Linked DNA regions of Neurospora crassa OR74A. The protein of the gene in region 2 interacts with the protein of the main gene of each other region in a pairwise test. Links are inferred from orthologs where the notes say so. Each region holds a gene or a part of one and is shown on either strand. Other genes may lie near its edges.

Region 1 (4,098 bases), on a different chromosome or scaffold from region 2:
CGCGCCAGAAACCACTATTAAGCGAGACAAGAAACATGTTTCGTAGGCAATGGACACAACGAGCAAGACATCGGGAAAGGGCACAACCACAACGTAGAGGAGAACAACGACGTCGGAACAATTAAAGAGAATGGGGCACAGATGCGAAAGAAAAGAAGAACCCACCTCAGCTACTGGGGATATGCAGAAAACATACATTACTACACGCTGTCTTCTTTCCCTGGAGAAGCACAAAATGCAGTTACTCAAAGGGGCTCACTGGCTCAGGAGCGGTATAACCACGGGATACAAGGAAGGGCGCAACAGTCCTCTCAACTCTCGACCACTATCATATCCCAGTCAGCAAAAGACTTTGGCTTATCACGCAGCTTGGTTGCAGGGTTTCACTTACGATGCTCTTCTGCTGGTGGGGAACAACTCCATCCTTGATCCAAATACCATAGCTGCCCATCATGTTGGCAAGCATCATGTCAGTGGCCAGTCGGTCTCCCACGACGGCGATCTGGTGAGGACTGGTGACACCGGTTTCCGGGTGGGCACGGAAGTAGGACATGATCTCGTCTCCACAGCCTGGCTTTTTCACACCATGGGGGAGAACAGTGATGCCGGTGGCCTTTTCAACTGCGGATGCCATCTGGCCGTCCTTGTCCCAGCTTAGGGCACCAGCAGTGTTGGAAACGATCAGAAGACGGCGTCCTGGGTATGCTGCTCGTAGAGCCTCCATGCGTTCCTTGGCTTAATCAGTCAAAGCGTTCCTGAATGGAATTGGGACGAGAGACAACCCACCTTGTAAGCCTCATACACTTCATTGTGATCAGGATAGGCAAAGCAGTCATCTTTGTCGAGCACGACAGCCTTTATGTCAACCTTCTTCTCGCCATTGCCGGAGAAGGCTTTGTTAAGAGGGATGGGCAGGTCGTTGAACGTTGGAACTGTAGCGTGGGGCAGACATAGTGAAGGCTTGGCGATAAGCTTGAAAATGTTCAATGAGGCAGACAAATTGAGATTGAGCTTTGACATATTGGTCGCGATAGTCCTCTTGGAGTTTGTTTGGTTGAGATGACATGAGGTTGCAAGAAAGCCTATGAACTCTCCCACCTATAACCCTCCCGCGAAGTACCTAGAGGTAGCGTATGTGGTGGTAGACAGGGGCTTGGCTTGCCCCCGTTAGTAGGCAGCGAACCCTGCTACCCGCAGGTACTCTCTAGCAGGTACCTGCTGTCTTCCCATCTAGAGGTAGGTAGCGTCATCCCGGGCGTATGTACAGCTTAACGCGTCTCAATTAAGCGAGCGCGTCTTGACTTTACAAAAGTTTCCCGTAGACTTCGAATTGCAGAGGTAGGGTAAAGGTACAGCGGGACTCCAAGGCATGCCATACAACTTGGACAACATAAACCAAAGCCAATAACACAAACGGTATGCCTCCTCGTCGGAAATCAACAGATCAGCACGATCTAGTCGAACGCCCCTCTCGAAAGCGGCCACTCCCTGCCGACCCCTACGAAGTTCCAGATGAGGATGATGCGGTTCCCTCCGCAAAGCGTCAACGGCGACAACCAGAAGATGGAGGAACACCTTCAAAGCGAAACGCCACCCCGCGGAAACAGGTCGATTTCCTCCAGCGCGACCTAGCCTCTGTGCCAGAAGAACCCGAGTCACCTACCGAGCAGACACCCAGCAAGAAAAGGATAGGGCGACCACCGAAGGCCAAGACGGGAGGAACACCAAGTGGCAAGCCGAGCACACCATCCGCCCTGCGCAAGAAACAAGTCGACGAGACACCGATCAAGCTCAAAGGAATCAGTGGCGTCGACACACCCGGCAGGCGAGGAATTGCCGACCGATCGGCTAGACGGAAGAGTGCCAGGGCTCTCATCGACCGTGTGCTGGAGGGCGCCGTAAGCGATGACGAGGACGAAGAGCAACAAATCGCACGAGAGATCTACGAGTCAAGCGAGGAAGAAGAGGAAGGGGACACCCAACAAGAAAACCTCGCCGACCAAGAGGCCGAGTTAGCAGCAACCACTCCATCCAAGACAGGGAGGGGGAGAGGACGAGGAGGCAGACCCCCCGGTTTAGCACGACGAAAGAAATCGCCCACACCACCCCGAGACCTCCCTCCCCATGAACAATACTTTTACCAGAACAAGCCGGGATCCAACAAAACCTCGAACAACACGCTCTCCTCGCTCGACCTCCTCATCCACGAAGAATACTTCTCGCTTCTCCGCAACCTGGGTCAGGACCCCCACGAAAAACATATCGATGCCCTCCAGTCGCAACACGCCGCCTCCTTCCCCCAATGGGCCTTTGAGCTCTCCCAAGGCTTCAGCGTCTGCCTCTACGGCTACGGCTCCAAGCGTCGACTTTTGCACCAATTCGCCGAGTACCTCTTCTCCTCCTCCGGCGGTAATGACACAAACAACACAACAATCATCATGATCAACGGGCACACCCGCACCCTCACCTTCCGCGAGATCCTCACCACCATCTCGGCCGCCATCGACCCCACCTTCCGCCTACCCTCCGGAAACCCGCTCGCCATGATCCAAAACCTCTTCACCCTCCTCTCCTCTTTTGCTCAAAAGCCAAGAATCACCCTCCTCCTAGCCTCCCTCGACTCCCCCTTCTCCCCCCTCCGCAAACCCCAAACGCAATCCCTCCTCGCCCATCTCTCCTCACACCCAGCCATCTCTCTCGCTTGCACAGTCGACACGCCCGACTTCCCTCTGCTCTGGGACTCTAGCTTACGCTCCTCGTTCAACTTTGCATTTCACGACTGCACCACTTTTGCAGACCACAGCAAAGAGTTGGACGTAGTAGACGAAGTACACGAGTTACTGGGTAGGATGGGCAAGAGAGCGGGTGGCAAGGAAGGAGTGGCGTTTGTGTTGCGGAGTTTACCCGAGAACGCGAGGAAATTGTTTGGGCTGATTGTGGGGGAGGTTTTGGTGGCTTTTGAGGACGGTGGTGGTGGTGGTGGTGGTACATCAGGGGCAGGAGACTTTGCAGCGGGAGGAGAAGGGCCGGGGGTAGAGTATAGGATGCTTTACAACAAGGCTGTGGAGGAGTTTATTTGCAGTTCGGAAATGGCGTTTAGGACGCTGCTAAAGGAGTATGTTCTTCCCTCTGTTGTGACTTGGCTGTGGAGATGATTTTCTTGGTTTTAAAGGGACAACGGCTAACAGAACGGAAACAGATTCCACGATCATCAAATCATTACGAGTCACAAGGACTCGATAGGGACGGAATACTTGAGCTTACCTTTTAGGAAAGAGGAGCTGGAGTCTATCCTGGAGGAGTTGATGTCGTAGTGATGATTGACGACGATGTATCATGACAATGCTAAGTTTTGAATCGAGATGAATGGGACACACACAGATTTGACCTGGAAGTTATCATACACACGGCAACACCCACCACATGTGTTGGAATGGAAGCCTACACATCATATCATAGTCTTAACATATCCAAAATCCTGGAAAGCTCACCGCAGAACATCAATAGCTCAAGTCTTACGATAATTACAAAGTCGAAAATGTATACTTGCCACTTCGATGTTTTGCTTGTCATGCCATGCTCTCATGATAGGTACTCGATTACCGAAAGGACCTAGTCCACTACTTTGTTTGGCCACACACACACACACACACACACACACACATCGAATCACGAGTCATCGAGCACAAAAGACATCAAGAGTATAACGAAGTTGAAATGTTTTTGATTGGATTCCTCAGTTCAGACAATTCCGTCTCGCGCGCCACGGATGCCAAGGAGACAAAAACAAGCAGCCGCCATGTCCGGGGAACTTTTCCCAAATGCCCGAGCTTCGATCTTGGTTCAACCGTATAAACCAAGCCCAAATCCCAAACTATGTCCAGGGAAAAAACAAACATTGTGCAAAAGAACACCTCCCCTTCCCAGGCCTCTGCCCGTTTAACACTCTCCTTTTTGATTAGCCCATTCGCAGATGCCCTTTTAAGCTTTTGCCCCGTGCCCGTTCAAACCCAATTAAGAACCCAAGAAGGACGCACTTTTCCCCTTCTTCCCGGTCTCTAAAAAAAGACCATGCGTATGTCGAAAAAAAGGGTATCA
Region 2 (4,283 bases):
TGCTCGATCGCTGTCGGATATCCCAAGCTCCTGGCGGTGAGCTCTGGGGAGGTGAGGGTGCTGGAGGGGACAGTTGCTGCGATTTCCAGCAACCGGAATGCGACGTCCTCGCAGGCTGCTCGTCGAGGTTCTCGTCGCCGGCTTGTCGTCGATAACTGCTTGTGGAAAATTGCTCGGCTGATGCGCCAATCACAGCCGTGCATTGGTTTGCGATCCCTGACGATTGTGGCTGCTAATAGTGTGGCTTGTGTGGTGCAGCCACTGCCCTTTGGTGAAGAGCCTTGTTTCTTTCCAGGGGACAAGTGCTGCAAACAGCGCTCCAAAACGCGGGCGCGGGAGGAAGGCACCAAGTCATCACCGCGTGAAGGTGCAGTGCGGCGCGGGGAAAGAGCGTGCATCGTGCTCCATTCCTGCCCGCCCAAGGTTCCAGTCGCGTCTGACCCAGGATAGGTAAGGTACCTTAGTGTTGACAGCTGCTGGACACGCGCAGCCTGTTGGACAGTTTAAACCAATCAGAAGCTGATTTGACCGAATTGCCCTGCGGTTGCCAGTGTTGCCCTGACGGCGGGCGGATGACAGCAAGGGAGGGACGTGGCCTGTGGTGGCCTTGCCGCCTTCAGTTCCTTCACTGCGTGTTTGAGGTGCGACCCTTCTTTGTCCCTTCTGCTTGCAGTGCTCCATAACAGCGCCCGGCCCAAGTACAATTTCCTGGCCGCTTTCTCGACTCCGGATTCTGCAACTCGACACTCACCATCCGACTAACAACCATTTCCCTGGACGCACGACAATCGACTTTCAGCTACAGCAACAACAGCAACTTTCGACTCCGGCCATTGAAGCCTGCATTTCTTCGGCAGTACAACCTTTTCGACTTGCTTATTCGACAACGGCATCCTCATCATTCGACAACTTAGCAAGGCAGGGAACAGCAAGACGTGCGTCTGACAGAAGCCCATATTGCACGGCGCGTCATCACTTGTTGTGGTAATTTTGTTCCCTTTCCGGTGTCTTGGACTTCAAAGCTTCAAAGCCTCGCTGCACTAGTGACCTCGAAGGGCACTAGAGGTACTTTGCCCCAGTCCCAGCACGTCCGATCCGGTACCTGGGTGGGTGTCCACACGCCCGCTCCGTCCACTGGCACTCCAGCCCCATCCACTGGGCTGCACTGGCACTGGCACCTCCACCAAGACCTCGCAAAAACAAGACTCCCATTCTTCTCTGCCTCGTAAACATCATACCTCCCTTTCCCGTCCGCCAACTAGCATTCCCACTCCGCATCACCTGGACTCGCAAGGCCTTGCCATCACGACGGCAACCCTTGGCCTCGATCAGTCAATCTTTCCGGACGTCGCCATTGCGTGCTTTGCCCCGACCGTCGTCACCAATTGGGCAACATTCCCGATCAACAACAGCACATCCTTCACGGTCTCAGCCAACCTTCTGTTGCGGGACCCAGGGTTGATCTCCGGCTTCAACAACGTGCCGACAGCGACATCACTGCCGACCGCCGGTGTTCATTCTTCCCGACATCTTTGGGCTCTGTAGTCGGTGCGTCTAGTCTCATTGACTGTCCGTGTTCACAATTCCCTCGTCGTTCGCTCGTCGTTCGCGTCAACCCTCCCTCCGTGACAGGGATCGGTCTTTCAATAAGAACCAGTCTCTCCACCTCGAACTTCGCCAAAAACGAAACATCCAAATAGCTAGCTGACCTCCCCGTCAGTAGACACATTTCACATCAATTTCTGTGCCAGCATAGGTTTAGGCGAGAATGCCGAATCTTGTAAGTTTTACTGCACAGTTGGCATTGTCGTTCAATCATGCAATTGGTTGTCCACAGCCATGCTATGTTTGTACTAACTCAACCCCAACCCTGCAGCGGACGAGGAACCCGCGTTCACTCGCGAACGAAAATGACGAGAACAGTACAGCAACCACGACACGTATGACGAGGGCCAAGGCGGCCACTCTCCATGTCGACGAATTGTCCATGCCCGCGAAAACCATGCAGACCAAAAAGACGACGATTTCGACAACCACCGCCGCCACTGCCGCTCGCACTGTCGGTAAGCGGAATGCACTGGGCGACGTCAGCAATGTCACCAAGGTTGAAGTTGCGGGAACGAAGAAAGCGATTGCGAAGCCCGGCCTAGTTTCGAAGGCGGCCCAGCCGAGTGGCATCCAGAAGAAGACCACAACTGCTACGAGCCGTACTGCGACTACTGCCCGCCGTGCGTTATCCAACAAAGAGCCCAACAAGACGGTCGGCCCCAGTGCTGGTGCTGGCACCATTCCCGCCAAGCGCAAGCCTCCTCCGTCCACATCCAAGCTCGCCCCTATCAAGGAATCAGCACCTGTTGAAAATGAACCGGCCCGCAAGAAGATCCACGTCGAAGAGCCCGAGAAGAAGAAGGTTTCCAGGACTGAGGCCAAGGAGAACGATGCTCCCTCCAAGGCTGTGAAGCCGATGGCCGAGCCCCCCGCTCCCGTCGTCCGCGATGTCGTCCCTGTTCAGTCAGTGTATCCGCCAGGTGTTAAGGACCTTGACACTGAAGACCTCGAGGATCCTCTTATGGTTGCCGAGTATGCGACGGAAATTTTCGAGTACCTCCGCGACCTCGAGTGCAAATCAGTGCCGAACCCTCAGTACATGAGCCACCAGGACGACCTCGAGTGGAAGACTCGTGGCATTCTCATCGACTGGCTCATTGAAGTTCATACTCGGTTTCATCTGCTGCCCGAGACGCTGTTCCTTGCCGTTAACATCATCGATCGTTTTTTGAGCGAAAAGGTCGTCCAGCTCGATCGTCTTCAGCTCGTGGGTATCACTGCAATGTTTGTTGCCTCCAAGTACGAGGAGGTCCTCTCCCCCCATATTGCCAACTTTCGCCACGTTGCAGATGACGGCTTTACTGAAGCTGAGATCCTCAGTGCTGAGCGTTTCATTCTATCGACCCTCAACTACGACCTTAGCTACCCCAACCCTATGAACTTTCTCCGCCGCATCTCCAAGGCAGACAACTACGATATTCAATCCCGTACCCTTGGCAAGTACCTGATGGAGATCAGCTTGCTGGACCATCGCTTCATGCCTTACCGTCCCAGCCATGTCGCTGCTGCTGCTATGTACTTGGCACGATTGATCCTTGGCCGCGGAGAATGGGTAAGTTATACAGATGGATTTATAATACTCGCCATATCATCCTGTGGCTAATACTCATAATAACAGGACAAGACTATCGCCTACTATGCTGGCTATACCGAGGAGGAGATCGAGCCTGTATTCCATCTCATGGTTGACTATCTGGCCCGTCCCGTTATTCATGAAGCATTCTTCAAGAAGTATGGCAGCAAGAAGTTCCTCAAAGGTATGTCAAACAACCGGCCTTGCTTGTCTCGTAATCTTATTCTGACATCTTCTCAGCCTCCATCCTTACTCGGCAGTGGGCCAAGAAGAACGCTGTTCTCTATGGCGTTGTTGACGCCGAGATCCCACTTGACAAGCTCAAGGACCGCCCCGTTGACCAGCTGCCTTAAGCTTGTTTGGGTGCAGCTGCGTTCACGGGCTAGCATTTGGGTTCTGGCCCATACAATGTTCTCAAAAGAGGCTACGATGCGGTTGGATCTCGCTAGCGCTTGACGACATATCATGAAGTTATAGATGACGGTATGCCTTTTGTCTCTGAACCCAATGGAGACCGCGTTCGTCCAATTTTCCTATTCTCTCTCTCAAAAAAAAAAGCATCCTATTACCTGCTTGATGCACAGGGAACCGGCTCTAGGAAACACGGCGAGGGTTAATCACCTGGTCCGCGCCGACGGGCTGGCTTTTGTTTTTCCTTCATCTTTCCGGCATGGCAGGTTTTTGTTTTGCACTGCTCCTTATTTACACGCTCAAACTTTTCTTTGCGGTGGCGCCAGGTGTCAAGGGAAATCAGGGAGAGAGGCGTAGAGGTATCTCTTTATTTCATGTTCCTCCGTGCAGAGGGCCTCAAAGGTATGGTTAGGTTGCGGTTTCTCATTGTTTACCCCCCCCCACGGTTCGGCACGGAATTTATCATTACTGTTCTATTGCTGCTGCTCTCTCCAGATATCGGATTCTGCGCACAATCAAGCTCGGTGCATGGTGTGAATGATACAAGGAGAGAAGATGTATGTCAGTTACTGTGTGGTCGTTATGAAGAAACGGCTTTAGCGAAAGAGAAAACAACAAAAACGGTGATCCACTGGGAGGCAATGAACGCATGTCGTGGGAAGGTTGGGGAAAAGTACTACTGTACATACAT

What was found.
Region 1: the proteins of NCU02758 (region 2) and NCU01370 interact in a two-hybrid assay, tested with the Schizosaccharomyces pombe proteins (2 studies listed by BioGRID). The link is inferred for Neurospora crassa OR74A from reciprocal best matches to the Schizosaccharomyces pombe genes cdc13 and orc2.

The regions. Positions count from the first base shown.
Region 1 is NC_026505.1:3,801,218-3,805,315, reverse strand, and holds NCU01370 (hypothetical protein), read left to right. Parts: upstream 1-1,291; 5' UTR 1,292-1,418; coding exon 1,419-3,115; intron 3,116-3,199; coding exon 3,200-3,314; 3' UTR 3,315-3,537; downstream 3,538-4,098. Other genes in the region: NCU01371 (UPF0660 protein, variant), read right to left, coding at 242-325, 392-730, 787-1,020.
Region 2 is NC_026501.1:3,457,567-3,461,849, forward strand, and holds NCU02758 (G2/mitotic-specific cyclin-B), read left to right. Parts: upstream 1-1,400; 5' UTR 1,401-1,768; coding exon 1,769-1,780; intron 1,781-1,876; coding exon 1,877-3,160; intron 3,161-3,226; coding exon 3,227-3,365; intron 3,366-3,421; coding exon 3,422-3,534; 3' UTR 3,535-3,722; downstream 3,723-4,283. Other genes in the region: NCU16375 (hypothetical protein), read left to right, coding at 3,967-4,283.